Linked DNA regions of Daphnia pulex. The protein of the gene in region 3 binds, or shares a complex with, the protein of the main gene of each other region. Links are inferred from orthologs where the notes say so. Each region holds a gene or a part of one and is shown on either strand. Other genes may lie near its edges.

Evidence for each region.
Region 1: the proteins of mitochondrial import inner membrane translocase subunit Tim22-like (region 3) and mitochondrial import inner membrane translocase subunit Tim9-like are in contact, whole or in part, in a cryo-EM structure (PDB 7CGP), measured with the Homo sapiens proteins. The link is inferred for Daphnia pulex from reciprocal best matches to the Homo sapiens genes TIMM22 and TIMM9. Residues at the interface, in NP_037469.2 of Homo sapiens: Asp35, Arg37, Gln38, Pro39, Arg40, Leu42, Gly45, Ser46, Leu47, Gly49, Ile50, Ser52, Pro53, Lys60; in NP_001291414.1 of Homo sapiens: Gln13, Glu16, Phe17, Thr20, Leu57, Thr60, Gln61, Met65, Phe67, His71, Gln74, Asn75, Leu78, Lys81.
Region 2: mitochondrial import inner membrane translocase subunit Tim22-like (region 3) and mitochondrial import inner membrane translocase subunit Tim10 B-like share a complex: the UniProt entries of both Homo sapiens proteins name them as parts of the TIM22 complex. The link is inferred for Daphnia pulex from reciprocal best matches to the Homo sapiens genes TIMM22 and TIMM10B.
Region 4: mitochondrial import inner membrane translocase subunit Tim22-like (region 3) and acylglycerol kinase, mitochondrial-like share a complex: the UniProt entries of both Homo sapiens proteins name them as parts of the TIM22 complex. The link is inferred for Daphnia pulex from reciprocal best matches to the Homo sapiens genes TIMM22 and AGK.

Annotation. Positions count from the first base shown.
Region 1 is NC_060017.1:2,955,126-2,958,064, reverse strand, and holds mitochondrial import inner membrane translocase subunit Tim9-like, read right to left. Parts: upstream 1,316-2,939; 5' UTR 1,215-1,315; coding exon 1,161-1,214; intron 931-1,160; coding exon 835-930; intron 778-834; coding exon 658-777; 3' UTR 605-657; downstream 1-604. UniProt on the Homo sapiens protein: Mitochondrial intermembrane chaperone that participates in the import and insertion of multi-pass transmembrane proteins into the mitochondrial inner membrane.
Region 2 is NC_060022.1:1,979,414-1,983,352, forward strand, and holds mitochondrial import inner membrane translocase subunit Tim10 B-like, read left to right. Parts: upstream 1-1,611; 5' UTR 1,612-1,702; coding exon 1,703-1,720; intron 1,721-1,788; coding exon 1,789-1,884; intron 1,885-1,961; coding exon 1,962-2,219; 3' UTR 2,220-2,247; coding exon of another isoform or gene 2,248-3,156; 3' UTR 3,157-3,214; downstream 3,215-3,939. Other genes in the region: myosin-VIIa-like, read left to right, coding at 50-251, 322-645, 722-891, 960-1,163; L-seryl-tRNA(Sec) kinase-like, read left to right, coding at 2,248-3,135; transcription initiation factor TFIID subunit 7-like, read right to left, coding at 3,130-3,156, 3,216-3,385, 3,442-3,544, 3,602-3,741, 3,810-3,939. UniProt on the Homo sapiens protein: Component of the TIM22 complex, a complex that mediates the import and insertion of multi-pass transmembrane proteins into the mitochondrial inner membrane.
Region 3 is NC_060022.1:5,354,830-5,358,326, forward strand, and holds mitochondrial import inner membrane translocase subunit Tim22-like, read right to left. Parts: upstream 1,806-3,497; 5' UTR 1,367-1,805; coding exon 1,156-1,366; intron 1,088-1,155; coding exon 900-1,087; intron 839-899; coding exon 803-838; intron 714-802; coding exon 597-713; 3' UTR 557-596; downstream 1-556. Other genes in the region: ribonuclease P/MRP protein subunit POP5-like, read left to right, coding at 6-151, 215-384, 450-554; transaldolase-like, read right to left, coding at 2,132-2,198, 2,385-2,592, 2,657-2,793, 2,872-2,997, 3,068-3,199, 3,261-3,368, 3,457-3,497. UniProt on the Homo sapiens protein: Essential core component of the TIM22 complex, a complex that mediates the import and insertion of multi-pass transmembrane proteins into the mitochondrial inner membrane. In the TIM22 complex, it constitutes the voltage-activated and signal-gated channel.
Region 4 is NC_060017.1:2,650,783-2,655,039, forward strand, and holds acylglycerol kinase, mitochondrial-like, read right to left. Parts: upstream 2,958-4,257; 5' UTR 2,943-2,957; coding exon 2,935-2,942; intron 2,795-2,934; coding exon 2,612-2,794; intron 2,545-2,611; coding exon 2,425-2,544; intron 2,359-2,424; coding exon 2,298-2,358; intron 2,239-2,297; coding exon 2,070-2,238; intron 2,009-2,069; coding exon 1,949-2,008; intron 1,876-1,948; coding exon 1,468-1,875; intron 1,403-1,467; coding exon 1,247-1,402; intron 1,178-1,246; coding exon 891-1,177; 3' UTR 853-890; downstream 1-852. Other genes in the region: coiled-coil domain-containing protein 134-like, read left to right, coding at 93-214, 275-359, 424-599, 679-852; trypsin-1-like, read right to left, coding at 3,344-3,438, 3,507-3,597, 3,679-3,825, 3,934-4,195. UniProt on the Homo sapiens protein: Lipid kinase that can phosphorylate both monoacylglycerol and diacylglycerol to form lysophosphatidic acid (LPA) and phosphatidic acid (PA), respectively. Does not phosphorylate sphingosine. Phosphorylates ceramide.

The DNA.
Region 1 (2,939 bases), on a different chromosome or scaffold from region 3:
GAGCAAACAACAAGAAGAAGAATTACAGGTAGCAACAAGGGGTATGCTCCAACCATTCCAAAGGCATGATTACTTGACTGCTAATAAGTAAACACTTGAAATTATTTATTCCGAACGCCATAGACCACCTCTTTCGAATGCAAGGACTGTTTCAGCACCAAGGACGGTCGATACAAGACGACGCTTTTTTCTTTTTGTGTTTCCGGTGATGAAATAAAACACACCCCTCGCCGAATCCCGTTGCAAACCAACAAGTTCCGAATGAAATATATTAAGTTTCCTTCTATTTTTGCTTTGAGAAAGGATACTGCTGGCATTCCGGTGTAGAAAGTTTTGAGGTGTTTCTTTTGTACAAGATGAATACAGAAAGGGATATGCGTTTCCCATTGATTCTATCTATCTTGTACCGTAAATAATGACAACCATACTCGACTAGCCTCAAGTGAACGACCTCTACTCGACAAATTTTTCCTCAAATCACAACGGCAATGAGAATAGTACAACACCCTGTATTGGGTCACATGGACACATATGTTAAGTACCGTGTTAACAACGCAACAGGAAGAACCGTCAGAACTGGTGTGAAAAGGAGAATCCCTCATAGTTTGAATGGATTAAATGTTTATTGAAAACCTACATACACACATTAGATTTGATTTACTTTTTAGCCATTGCCAATGCATTTTCATTAGATAGGACTTGAAACTCTTGAAAACACTGAGATATCCTTTGGTTAGCCTTCAGGAACTTTTCAGCACAATTAACTGCACAGGAATTCTGAAACAAAAACAATAATAATTACCTTGCAAATAATACAAAATTCTGGTTTTTTACTTCTTGGTCTTTGATGGTCCTCGAAGTGAAGTCCCACACACAGTCCACAAAGCATAGCTCAGAAAGTTTGTTGTAGGAGAAGAGAAAATCTCGGAACTGTACAAAGGGTAAGAAAAAAAGTTATGCAAATTTAATCCATACGTCACAGTCGTTCGAAGAAAGACCAATATAATATGCACGTAAGAAAATATCTCCAGTTGAAGCAACGTGACTTGATCATTTAGCAAATGTAAAAAAATGACTTGCAATCAACAGATTTGAGAACAAGAAAACAATCGTTATTTCCACTTATACAAATAGACAAAAATAATAGCCGAATAAGTTACCGATTTGATTTGTTCCGCCTCAATTTTAGCGGCGTCAATTGCTTCGGAAGTCATTTTAGATTTTAGAAAAGTGTGAAAGCAGACGACATTTTCCTCGTGTGATTTCAGACACTAGCTGCCACCTGGCGTAGGAAGCAAGAACTCATTGGTGACTTCAGTGTTTACATCAGTTTTGAACAGTCGACGCACTCAACGGTCGCCAAGGCAGCTTGGCTTTGAAAAACACTAATAAAACCTTGTCGTCAGTTCGATTCACTGTGCTTCGTGAGTGTGTTTCGCGGGTGAATTCAAGATCTTTTCGTTGCGTGTGAGTGAATTCGTGGTGCCGGCAGCGTGAGGTAAGATCATTTCGATCATTTTTATGACGATAGATAGATGCAAGAGGAAAAAGTGGCCCCGGGGCTTCATTGATGATTCTACCCCATAAGTTGTTGCCAGACCTCCCATCATTCAAACAATTTTATTCCCTCGTGAGGTAGTCGACGAGAGTTGCATGCTAATAAGCAATGTCGTAAAATTGTAACCATTGTTTTATTTCTTTTTGGAAAATGAGATGCAGAAGAAGAAGAGAGGTCATACCTGGGTCTTTGTCTGACTTCCAGATGTGCTTGGAATTTTAAAAATAACTTATTATATATCTTTTTCCTTCTTTTGTTTTTAAGGAAAAACTTTTGGAGGTGTTGAAGATCTCCTCGTGACGTCCGGGATCCACTCAAGATTCCGCACGCAGGTAGGACAATCTATAAACCTGAGAACGTTCAGACATGGTGCACCTTGTTTTTTGTTTTAATAAGTCTTCGCGTGATGTGTCACAAGGACCGTATTATAGTTACGTCACCGTACAAGTTGTGAATTTCAATCAAGGTCTTTTTCGGAATTTTGAACTGCTTTCAGCCGAAATGAGGACAATTAAAATTTGACGGGTCGCGTCATTTCTTTTAAAAAAGAAAATGTTTTGATCAAACGTCGATATTGTTTTTAATTCAATTTTTGTATTATATTGTGTCAAATTGCCGTAAAGTCAGAAATCGTGACGACTTCCTGGTGAGATGGACGGTGCGATTCTTTTGAATTGTTTCCCTTTCGAATGGGCAAGCCGCAAGATGGCGTCACGGTTCCTTTCACCGTAGCCTTGAGAGTTTTCCACACGAAAACAACAACAACAAATGGGACTTTAGTGGCCCAATGCCGTAAGGCTCTCGATTGTAAGGCCCTTTTTTTTTATTCCTCGATTGTGTGTGCGACTGGAAGAAGAAAAAATTCACGCTCCAAGGGAAGTTGTTTCGTTTTTATCGGTTTATTCTTTAGCTTGTATTATATTCCCCTCTTGTTGCGGTAAGCCCGTTGTGGCCGTTTCTTTTCTTTCCCGCTAGGCGGATGTGACGTCATGGCCCAGAGCTTGGCACAGCCAACAACAGTTGGTCTTGTGCTCTCTTTATTAACGTTGTACTAATCCATGGACCTTTCCTACAGGCCACGAAAGTTTTTCTCACACAACTTTCTTCCATTGGCGGAACGGTTGAACGACCTCATGCGACCTCTTTTGACTCTTGACCTGGGGAAATCTCTGTCTGCTGGAGATTTTCCATCCGTCTCAAGAGTTCAAGGTCAAGGTCAAACTGAGAATCACAGTTAGTCACAGAATTAACGCAGGAATAAATATGAAATGAAATTTAGGTGCTATGAAAGTTTTGATTAAATAAGGCAATTGAAAATGGCCGAGAGAAACCGGATTAGAGACCATGATTCAACGTGTGCCCTATAAGGCCATCGTTGAGT
Region 2 (3,939 bases), about 3.4 Mb from region 3:
TGTTTTATATTTTCTGTTCTCTTTTCAATGTTTTTATGCGCAATTCCAGGCCTTTGAAGTCGATTCTTCCACCAGAGCTAAAGACTTTTGCCAAAGCATCTCGCAGCGACTGGCACTCAAGTCGGACGAAGGTTTCAGTCTCTTTGTCAAGATTGCCGACAAGGTCATTTCGGTGCCCGAAGAAGACTTTTTCTTTGATTTCGTCCGCCACTTGACGGACTGGATCAAAAAGGCCAAACCGACCAAAGACGGTAACGTTCACATCGTCTACAATTTTATCGTTATCCCTTTTTCTTTATTATATGTTTATGGCCTGGACAGGTATCACGCCTCAATTCACCTACCAAGTGTTTTTCATGAAGAAACTGTGGACCAACACCGTGCCGGGCAAAGACCGCAACGCCGATACCATCTTCCATTTCCACCAAGAGTTGCCTAAACTGCTGAGAGGCTATCACCGCTGCAACAAGGACGAAGCCATCCGTCTGGCCGCTTTCATTTACCGCGTCCGCTTCGGCGAGAGCAAAGCCGAGCTGGCCAACGTGCCGCAAATGCTACGCGACCTGGTCCCGGCCGATCTGATCAAACTTTTAGGCAACAATGATTGGAAGAAAACTATCACGGCTGCTCACGCTCAAGATTCAGGTTTGACATTTGATTGAATGATTGACTTGATTCCATTTGGTGTTGACGCCACATCGTTTTGAATTGAACATTTTAGGAATGAGTGCCGAAGACGCCAAGATCAACTTTCTAAAGATTATTTACCGCTGGCCAACGTTTGGTTCGGCCTTCTTCGAAGTCAAACAAACGACCGAGCCCAATTTCCCCGAACAGCTTTTGATTGCCATCAACAAAAGCGGAGTCTGTCTGATCCATCCACAGACTAAGGTGAATATCGCACACCCGCCATTATCTTTCTTTTTTGAACTCGGAATTAACATTTGTTCGTGTTCTAGGACATTTTGGTGACTCACCCGTTCACGCGCATCTCCAACTGGTCTTCGGGCAACACTTACTTCCACATGACTATCGGCAACCTGGTGCGAGGATCGAAATTGCTGTGCGAAACCTCGCTCGGCTACAAGATGGACGACTTGCTCACCTCCTACATCTCCTTGATGTTGAATACCATGAACAAGCAAAAGTCCATGCGGCTCTAATAATTTGCTCGCTCTTATTCTTCACCATTTTATCCCATTCAAACGAGAACGTAAATGTTGGCTATCGAGATGAGCTTCGTTCCTTTGGTCAGTTTATAGATTGATTTTCCATCACGAGAATTAGCAACTTTGTGAATAGTTTCTGAATTTTGCGATATTTTGCCACTACCTAGTTTTCCGTGTTTTTTTTTGAATTATTTTTAATTGACACCGGGGTCATCTGCTTTTGACGGGGTCTACTATTGTCAATGCATGCTTCGCTAGCTCTCCTCAAAAGCAAGGAACGATCCCGTTTCCCCTTTGCAGTTTTCATCGCCCTCATAATCGTCTTTTAACAAATTTATGTATATGTTATTTGAAAAATGAAGAATTATAATAAAGCATTTTACACTCGAAATCAATAGATAAACAAGTAAATTAATTTTTAAATTTTTTTAAACAAAATACGGATATGTTGACGTTTCGGCTAATGTGGCAACCCGGTGAGCCATATGTTTTGCAGACGACATGAATTGTCAATTTGTGGAAAGTAATTCGAAATGGATGCACTCAGGAACGTAAGTTTTTAGAAAATGTATTTGAATTGTAATTAATGCCAGAAAGTTAATTGATCTCTTCTTCCTAGTTTAAAGATTTTCTCTTAGTGTTCAACAAAATGTCAGAAACTTGTTTCACGCGATGCGTGAACACATTTCAGACTAGAGAGCTGACTGAAGATGAGGTAGGCTAAGAACATGAGGTTTCTCTTTCATAACATATCAGACCAATAGTTATTTTTTTGTTTTTGCTTTTTTTTAGGATAAATGTGTTGAAATGTGCTCAACGAAGAACATTAGAGTCAACCATAAAATCATGTCTGTGTATATGGAAGTTCAACCTCTAATTGTGCAAAAGCGAGTGGAAGAGATGGAGAAACTTAACCCACCACAAGCAGTCGCAGAAACTATTCCTGAAGTTGCTGAAATTAACACAGTTGCACAGTCAGTCATAATAGCAGAAACTGAGCCTCAACATGTTTCACAAGAGACCTCATCTTTAGAGCCTCAAGTTGTGTAAAATAGTGACACATACCAACAGGACAGAAATGAATCAGTGTTATTGCATTGTGGTGTTACTAGGTTTGCCTGCCAGTGGAAAGAGCTGGTTAGCAGGAAGATTATGTAGTTTTTTAACAGAAAACAATTGCATTGTGAATTGTGCAACTTTTGATACTATTGTGAGTTTAGAAAAACAGGCTGAAATTGCTGTTTCGTCATCTAGTGAAATAACAAAGCATTACCGTCGCGAGATGAAAGACACTGTGGAGTCTTTCTTGAAAGTGCCCAATCCTTCTTCCAAAAAGTGTGTCGTAATTGTTGATGATAACAACTACTATCGAAGTATGCGGTATGAATATCATCAGTTAGCGGCCAAATTCTACACAGGCTACCTTCAAATTTATGTCAAATGCGAAGTGTCTGAAGCGTTACTCCAAAACAACAGTCGTCCGCAAAGCAGCCGTGTTCCTGACATTGTAATCACTCAAATGAACACCAAATTTGAAGATCCCTGTGAAGCGTGGGAAAATTCTTTGACGATTGGACACATTGATTTAAATGATACAGAAATATTGAACAAGATATGGAATTACATCCAGAATGCTGTGGATAGTCCTGTCTCAACATTGAAGACTCTAGAAGAAAAGAAGCTTGCGTCCGAGCAAAGCAAACTACGCAACGATCACAACATCTTTCACAATATCGACAAAGTTCTTAGAAAAAGATTAAACCAATGTATACGCGAACGTAAAGAAGAAAAAGACGCTCGTGTATTGGCAGCACAACTAAACGACACTCGACAATCTATTTTGGAAGGGATCAAAACAGGCGCCATTGCAATCCCGACAGACATTCTGAAGGCGGATGGATCCATCGATTTATCTATCCTTGAGGTTTGGTCCATTTCAGCTTTTATCCAGAGGTGTCCGTTATAACATGGACATGATTTGGTCATACTAGAATACAATTTGTTAAAAATAGCTGAAATAATAATAAACAACACAATAGAGATCACCTCTTCCTTTTTCTCTTGTTCCTGAGCAACAAGTTTTGAAAGAGCCATCTGAAATCTTTGCTTGAGGGCGGCGTTTTCAATTGTAGCTAGCTCGTTTTCTTGAGCTTGTCTCATGTTCTTGATCTCACGGATTTCATCCCTCAGTTTATCAGCCATTTTTTGCAAATCGTCTTAACGACAAATGATATTAATTTTTAAAGCAGAAAAACAAATTTGAAATGTTTACCTTTTTGTGTGTCGATGACCTTTTTTTGTGGAGATAGATTAGAAGAACTGCTGTCATCCCGAAACATATCTCCGCTAAATTGGGTTATCATAGAATTGGACCCCTAAAAAAGAGAATGTAACAACTATCGAAACAAATTTAATTATTTTAAATTTGGTACCCTGTTGCTTCCTGCATAGAACTCCGAACCCGATCCACGGGATTCGTCACTGTTTTCGTAGTCTGATTCCATAATGTTGATCTTGCTTCCATGTTCTTCATCTGAGTCGCTTAGTGCCTCACCAAAAATATCGTGTTCGGCTATAGATAACAGAAGTATGAAGCAATTTGAACGAGTGCTGAAAACCGTTGGTTTTTACAAAACATACCCAAGCCACGGTTTTGTGTGCTAACGAATGTTCCGGATGCAAGAGGGACGGTCATTGCTGCCCCATCTCCCAACCCAGCTTCATTGGCTGCCTTTACCTTAGATTCATCTTCTTCTGTGATCAGTTCCCA
Region 3 (3,497 bases):
TTCAGATATTTAACTGCAGAAATTATACCAGGGGATTCGACTACACAGCCTCTAAATGTGAAAAAATATGATTTACTTGCATCAGTCCTTGATGTCACTGAACAGATCCATGGAGAGTTTGGAGCTGCAGCAATTAGAAATGGCTTAGAAAGTAAAAACACTTAACTTTGTACTAATATTGGTGTTCTTTAATGTGTTTTTTAATGACATCTAGTCAAGTACTGCAATGAAAACACACAAATAGCAATAATCAGATGTAGACATGGCCCACATAGACTGTTGGCCTCATCACTTCCATTCCTATCAACAGTTGGTAAAAGAAAAGTTCAACTTCAAAGTGTTTACACAGGAGCTACCATGGTGCGGTGCTTCAAATTTTTAAAGGTTACTTTTGGGTGTCAATTTTAAATTAGTTTGCATTATCATACTAATAAATCCTTTCATTCTAGAAATTTCATGAAGACAAGATAAATGAAGCTTTGAAAACCTGTAAAACAGAGCAAGAAAAAAAGAAAGTTATAGAAACCATGACCAAGGCCAATTTGGAATTCTGAAATATTTGTAATAAACTGTATTTCAACTATTTGTCTGAATTGTCAGTGTCTCATGTAGTAGTCTATTGCAGTAGAGAATGCTGCAAATCCTAGTGCCCCTACAATTCCAGGTTTAAGTCCAGCTCTAAGACCAATCAGTCCTCCAGTAATTCCACCAGCCTGCATTCAAAATAATTTAGAAATGGGTTTTTAAGATGAATCACTCAATTTCTTTCCACAAATTTCTCTTAAATAGGGAAACAAATTACATAGGTTCCGTTCTTCCAATCTGCTTTCCCGCGATACTAAAAATGAAATATGGAATTACGCCAAGTTTTACATTGTAAAGAAAACGTGTTTACTTACAGATTCAATGGTGCACTCAACTGCAGAAAACATAAGACCAACAAGAGCAAAATTTTTTGCATAGCTAAGTGTAGAAAACTTCAAATCTCTGAAGATTTCTTTGGCTGTCTGTTGAGGTGCATCAGGGGCGGTGATATTAGGACTCACACTGGCACTGAACAATCCCAATGCAGCCCCCAATCCATAACCTGAATAAAATTATTAAAACATTATAATCAAAAAATAAATGAGTTTGCCAAATTGTTCTTGGTAGTACCCATTACACTTGCTACAAGTGATTTAAAAGCACATGATTCAAAGGCTGCTTCTACGCGTTTCTCATCAATACTTTTGATGTGAATTGGACCGACTGTCCTGGGGATGATGATTTGTTCTCGATATTTACAGTTATTTCCGACAAAATATTTCATTAAGGAATCCATCTCGTAAGGAGAGAACCCAGCAGGAGAAGTTGTTGATTCGTCCATGGTCTGTCAAAAGTGGTTACGTTTTCCAGGCACCAGTTTGGATCAGTTTAGAAAGATGCACATTCACTTTGATCAAATTATCTGGATGAAGACAAATTTTAAAAATAACTTGTACAGGGTAAAATTGAGATTTGCTTCTTTTTAGAATATGTACGGAAGAGAAGACCATGAAGACGATCACAAATTCACAACAGTCGGCTTGAAACGTCGTCTGCTTTTTGAAAACTTGGTACAGCGTTGCATTGCATAAGACTCTTTTACGTCATCTTCCACGTCTGCTTGGCGCTTGCTGTGCCCTGTGCCTGTGTCTCCTTACCTGTCTGTCTATCCGGATTACTGATCGGCTGATCCGATAAAAGCGACAAGACGGACAATCTCATTTGAAACTCTTCGCCGATTTCTTTATGTTATCTACTTACTTTTAAGTTTAAACCATATTTGAAACTGAAAAGTAACGGCGGATAACATTAGACCAAATAAATCAAAGATGTTTCCTTAAACGATTTTTGCGTAGAGTAGAGGAAAATTTATAACAGGAAAAAAACATTTAATTTCTTTGTAATTCAATAGGAAGCAGAACCACGGAATGTTGAAACTGATCACCAAATAGCAAATAGAGACTTAGAGTAGGCTGATTAATTTTAAATTAGTAGTAAAATTCTTATAACTACATTTTCCAGTTGAAAGAATAATCTATGACATTTCTTACGCTTTAAAAACCAACAATCAAGGTTGAGTTATCGATCTTCATAGGATCTAGAAATTTTAAGCGTTGAGTTTTTCGTTGATAAAGGTTTCCAACTTGACGGCGTCGACCGCAAACTTACGGATGCTATAAAATAGAAATAAATTATTTTATGTTATATTTATTAGTTTGTTCCCTAATATTTTTAACCAAAATTTATCAGGAATTTTTATAATGCATCTAACAATAAACCACTGTTTGTGGAAACAATCCTTAACCAGTATTAACCAATCGTTATCTAACCCACAAAAAAGTATAAGGAAATCAGAATACCCGTCACTGAGCTTATCGGTGGCCATCTGATCTTCATTCAGCATCCAACGGAAAGCTTTCTCGTCCAAAGAAATGCGTTCGAGATCGCATGTTTTGGCTTGCTCTGCATCAAGTTGACGAGTGACGCTTGCGCTGCTAGCATCCAATTCTTCCAGCAACTTTGGGCTGATAGTTAATAGATCGCATCCAGCAAGAGCAGTTACCTCGCCTATCAAACAATTTGAAATTTAACTAGCGTCCACGTTTAATAAACAGAACTGTGTAGAAAATACCGGTGTTTCGGAAAGACGCCCCCATGACTACGGTCTTGTAACCAAACTTCTTGTAATAGTTGTAGATCTGAGTGACTGATTTAACTCCAGGATCGTCTTCGGGAGCATACGATTTAGTAGAAGTGTTGCTCACATACCTAGAGATAGAGAAATGAAGAATAAAAATGGTGCGCTTAAAAATGTCATTACTCATTAGTCTTTAAATTCCTTCTTACCAATCCAAAATGCGACCAACGAAAGGAGAGATCAGAGTAACACCAGCATCGGCGCACGCAACTGCCTGGCAGAAGCTAAACAGCAACGTCAAGTTGCAGTGAACATCGTGCTTTTCTTCAAGTTCCCTGCGTGACGGCAATTATTGAAAACAATTATCTCATAGGAAAAAAACGCGAAAACACTTTCAATCAATACTTTGCTGCTTGAATTCCTTCCCAGGTCGAGGCCAATTTAATGAGAACCCTTTCTTTCTCAATACCTTCTTCAGCGTACAACTCGATAAGCTTGAGAGCCTTCTTCACGCTTCCCTCTTTATCGAAAGAAAGTCTGTGGACAAAAATCGAAAGTTAGGACATCATTCTGCAGTTAACGTCTGGTGGTCAACCACCTGGCGTCCACTTCAGTAGAAACGCGACCAGGAACAATTTTCAGAATTTCAACTCCAAACAAGACAAAGAGCTTGTCCATTGTAGCAGCTAACTTTGCAGCATTGTCCCTAATAAATAAAGCCATCAGCTACAGTTCAGGGAACAGTACAAAGTTCTGGTGTCTTTCTTTGTATTCGAAAACAAAATTATATTTACCCTTCCTGCTGTTTGCCATAATCAACAGCTTTCTGAACAAG
Region 4 (4,257 bases), on a different chromosome or scaffold from region 3:
TAAGTATTACGTTTCCTCTCATTATAATAGCCTTGTACCCACCAGTGTGAGTTTCTTGGTTATTCATGCCTTTTCAATTGTGTCTCCATTAGTTGATAGATTGTTCCAACTTAAAAGAAGTGAACAGAAAGATGCAGTTCAACGGATTGCAGAAGTCAAATCAATTGAAAAACAACGCAAGCTTCTGGAACTTGTCATAACCAAAATCATGGAGGTTGTTAGACTAACATTTCAGAAAACGGAAAAAGGCTGTAATTAATTCAAGTTTTTGTAGGTTCTAACTCATAGTAGAATCAAGCTGGAAAGCTCTGGCTATCTTCCAGAATCTGATTTTCCTCAAGATGAATCTCTTCGTGATGGTATTATTTATTGGTTTTATTATTCTGAAATTATAGCTAATGATGATGAGGCATTTTAAAATAGCTCTGTCAAGCATGATAGAAAATACTGCATTTATGGGGGATCTTGTGCTCTATTTACCTGATGCAACAAAAGCGTTTCTTAAAAATAATGAATGGAATACCATATTCAAATGGAGTTTAAGTATTTGTCAACAGTCTGTCTTTTTGAGCACTGCAACAAAGAAAATGCTGCACTTGGTAAATTTCAATGTTTCTTTAATCAAACCATTCTAGTGTTATTCATCTTCTTAATGCTTGACATTTGAAAATATTGCAGGTTGCGCAAGAATTAAATTTGGTCGAACGAGAATCAAATTATTTTAATCCATACGCAGAGGCAAATCGAAAGAAACCAGATCCTTTACCCGAAAATGTCGAAAAGAAGAAAGTGAGAAAGAAAATATCTAAAGGTCCTTCTTTATCGGGATCAAGATTAAAAAATGAATTGTGAAAGCTATATAAATTGTTTTATTTTCTTATAAATACAATTTATCTACTGGTAGATGCGCTAAAAACTTTAATGGCGTCTGGTAAAACGGTGACTCGAATTGGTTTAACTTCGTAGTTGTCATTGTCTATCGAATACCACCTTTCTTCAACTTCAACACTTTTTCCCTCTTCAGTTGTTTCCTTTTCCGCTATCGAACTTTCTTCAATTTTAGGGATCATTTCAAATTGGCGTACGAGAATCTTTTCGCGATTATTTTGACTGGTCTCTGTTTTGGTCCTTAACCAACCCTCTTTCACGAACTCAAATCCACTTATATTTTCAGGTCCTAAGTGAGAGAGTGAATTTTTTTTTTAATTATCACTCACAGGTTTCAGCTATTTAAAAGATGTTTTACCAAGATTGACTTCCAAATGTTTCGGTAGATTTGGAGGACTGAAATTTACATTGTTTTCGGTTAGAACTTGGAACTCTACGGATGAGAAATCCTTCTGATGCCATACCCCACATTCGGGATTAACAACTTTTGAATAATCTTTGACTTGTTTTGTATCTAGAGAAATTTGTAAATAATATGTTAAGATAACGTGAATGACCTGATAAAAGGAATACAATTACCTTTGACGGATCTAGTTCGTGGTATAAAAGCATGCCACCATCGAGAATTCTGTACTTGCGAACCAAATTTCAGCTCATTTGCATCTTGCAAATTGTTTCTCATACAGTTATTACAACCCTCACACGGTACGGTATAGTGAAACTGTGCATTGCACTCCCACGTGAGATTTTTGAAAGCTCCAAAGAAATAGGCGGCATATGACTTCAGTGGTCCCCACAACCAGTATTTCCCAATTCTTTCCTCGACATCTCGAAATGCTCCCCATTTCAGTTCACCAAGTGCGTAAACTGGTTTTCCAGTAGGATTTTCTGAATTTTCCAATATTTCTACCTTCATAACATCTACCTGTTTTTGAAAGTCTCTTATTATTGCCATAGTTGCTTCAGCCATGAGTTTGATTCTATCATCTGAAAAGAGACCAAGGGGTAATAGTAGAATCAATTAAAAGCTGCATTTTTAAACCATCAAAATATTGCATACCTTTATGTTCTTTAAAGATAGATTTTGCAATGTTATTGAGTTTTCCTACAGGGATGATACCTGGAGAAGAAACATATTTTCAAACAAAATGTTTAGGGAAATATATAATTCATTGTGATACCAATAGGAAATCGTTGGACTGCTAACCCACTATCATTCCTTCTCAGCAATCCAGTTACAGCTTCTGTTATGGCTCCATCTCCACCAGCAACAACTACTGCATCACAGTTATCCATCACTTCCATCAATCCCCTGGCTTCTCCAACAGATTCAGTTTTGACCACACTGACCTGGAATAGAGAATGAGAACTTATTAAGGTCAAACAAAAATAAATAATGAGACTCAAACCTTCATTCCAGAAAGATAAAGTAATGGAGCACAATAATCCTCAAATTCTGATTTGCCTTTCCTATACACATTTAAAATTAACTTTTAAAAACGTCAAAGTGATTTGAGAAAATATTAAGTGCAGCACCCTCCATTTGAAGCGGGATTCAACACTACAGTTATTTGGCGAGCAGGTAGTCCTATAGGAAGTGGAACATCCCCATAGCTTTTAGCTTCCTCACAATAAAGTCTCAACATCTCTTTAGTCCTGCACCAATGGGAGAAATATTTTAAGACATAATCATTGGTAAAATACATTTCACTTCTATGAGTACCTGAATTTTGTGACGCCATAGTTTACTCCATAAGAAACGAGGAGAAAACCAACGGTTGATTTCTTCCAATTATTTCGCAGGGTTTTGAAAATGCGAACGATCCTTGCCATGTTGAAGTTCAGGCGGTTCAGGTCTCGCCGTGTTTTGAAAATAACGTTCTGCAGACGACGTATTTTTCGACATCTATTGGTAAACGGATAAAGTGTTTCAATTTTTTCTTCCACAATCAACTCACAATCGCGCAGATATTCCCATATCATAAATAAATAAGGCAAAATATTGTCAGTCGATCAAAATGCAACGATATCAATATGTTTGCATACGTTTTCATGTGGATCTTGATCTCCAATGTCCGATCAAGTACCGTACGTTTTCTTTCTCTCGCTTTCTCTAATTAGGCCTACACAAACGGGTTTATTGGGAGTATTGGGGAATAAACTTTTCAAAATTCATCCACGCTACCTTTTTTCGATAACGCAAAAAAGTAGGATTATGGACGCCCCACCAGATGTTTTCCTTGGATTGGATTGGATTGGACCATGTGTTCACTAGTAACGCAAAATGAAAGTTTGTTGCCTTTTGAAAATTTGATTTACATACATTTTATTCAGATAGCAAAGTTTCTCTCATATTTGATATTTCAATATTGTACAAAAATAATTACGTATGTTTATCGTTAGATTTGCGTGCCCATTTTTTTATTTTAAAATTTAGCCACATTTTATTAATTATTCAATTACGAGATGTTTGTGTTGTTGTGGAAGCTTCCGCCGTTGATAATTTCATATTAATCCATCCGATATAAGCCGAAACTTCGGTGTAAACACCTTATTAAAAGATAGCGAAAAATCAACAAGATCATTCAATAAATTTATTGCAAAGTGTTGTAATTTACCGGGATAATCAGGTTGACCACAGCCTTTACCCCAAGACACAATACCAACAAGAGTTTTGTCACCCAACATGAGCTGTCCACCAGAATCTCCCTATATTTTTGTAAAATTTTGGTGTCATTATTTAATATCAGACTTAAATTAACTTATCAGAATTAAATTTTCTGCATATACCTGACACGAATCATAGCCTCCGGATGTATATCCAGCGCATAGCATGGAATCAACAATTAGCCCTGCACCATAAATTAAGCGGCAGTCTTCGTCGGATACCACAGGAACTGTCGTTTTTAGTAGCACATTAGATAAATTCCCTCCTTCCTGCATAAGCGAATTTATTTCAGCATCCTCGAGTTTAAATTATTCATGCGCTTAAAGTTCTCAAAAGAGATGAGCCTTAAATTAATGAATTTATTATTAAACGCGTACTTTTGTGGTTCCCCAACCTGCGACCGTAACGGCCGTGTCTGGATGAGTAAAGTAGCCGGATCTAGGAAGTTTAACTTGTTTCAAGTAAGAGTTGAATACGAAGGCTCCATTTAATCGAATTATTCCAATATCATTCCTCAGGTAATCTGGGTCATATTCTTCGTGAAGAACAAATTGGACTGCTCTCAGCTCTTGTTCATAACCACTAACGAGATCTAACCTGTGTTCGCCAGCAACCGCCCAAACTCCAATTGGATGAAGCCTATATAGTACGTGAATCTTGCGGTTATTATCATTCAAACTTTCTCTTGGTGAAATTTAAAA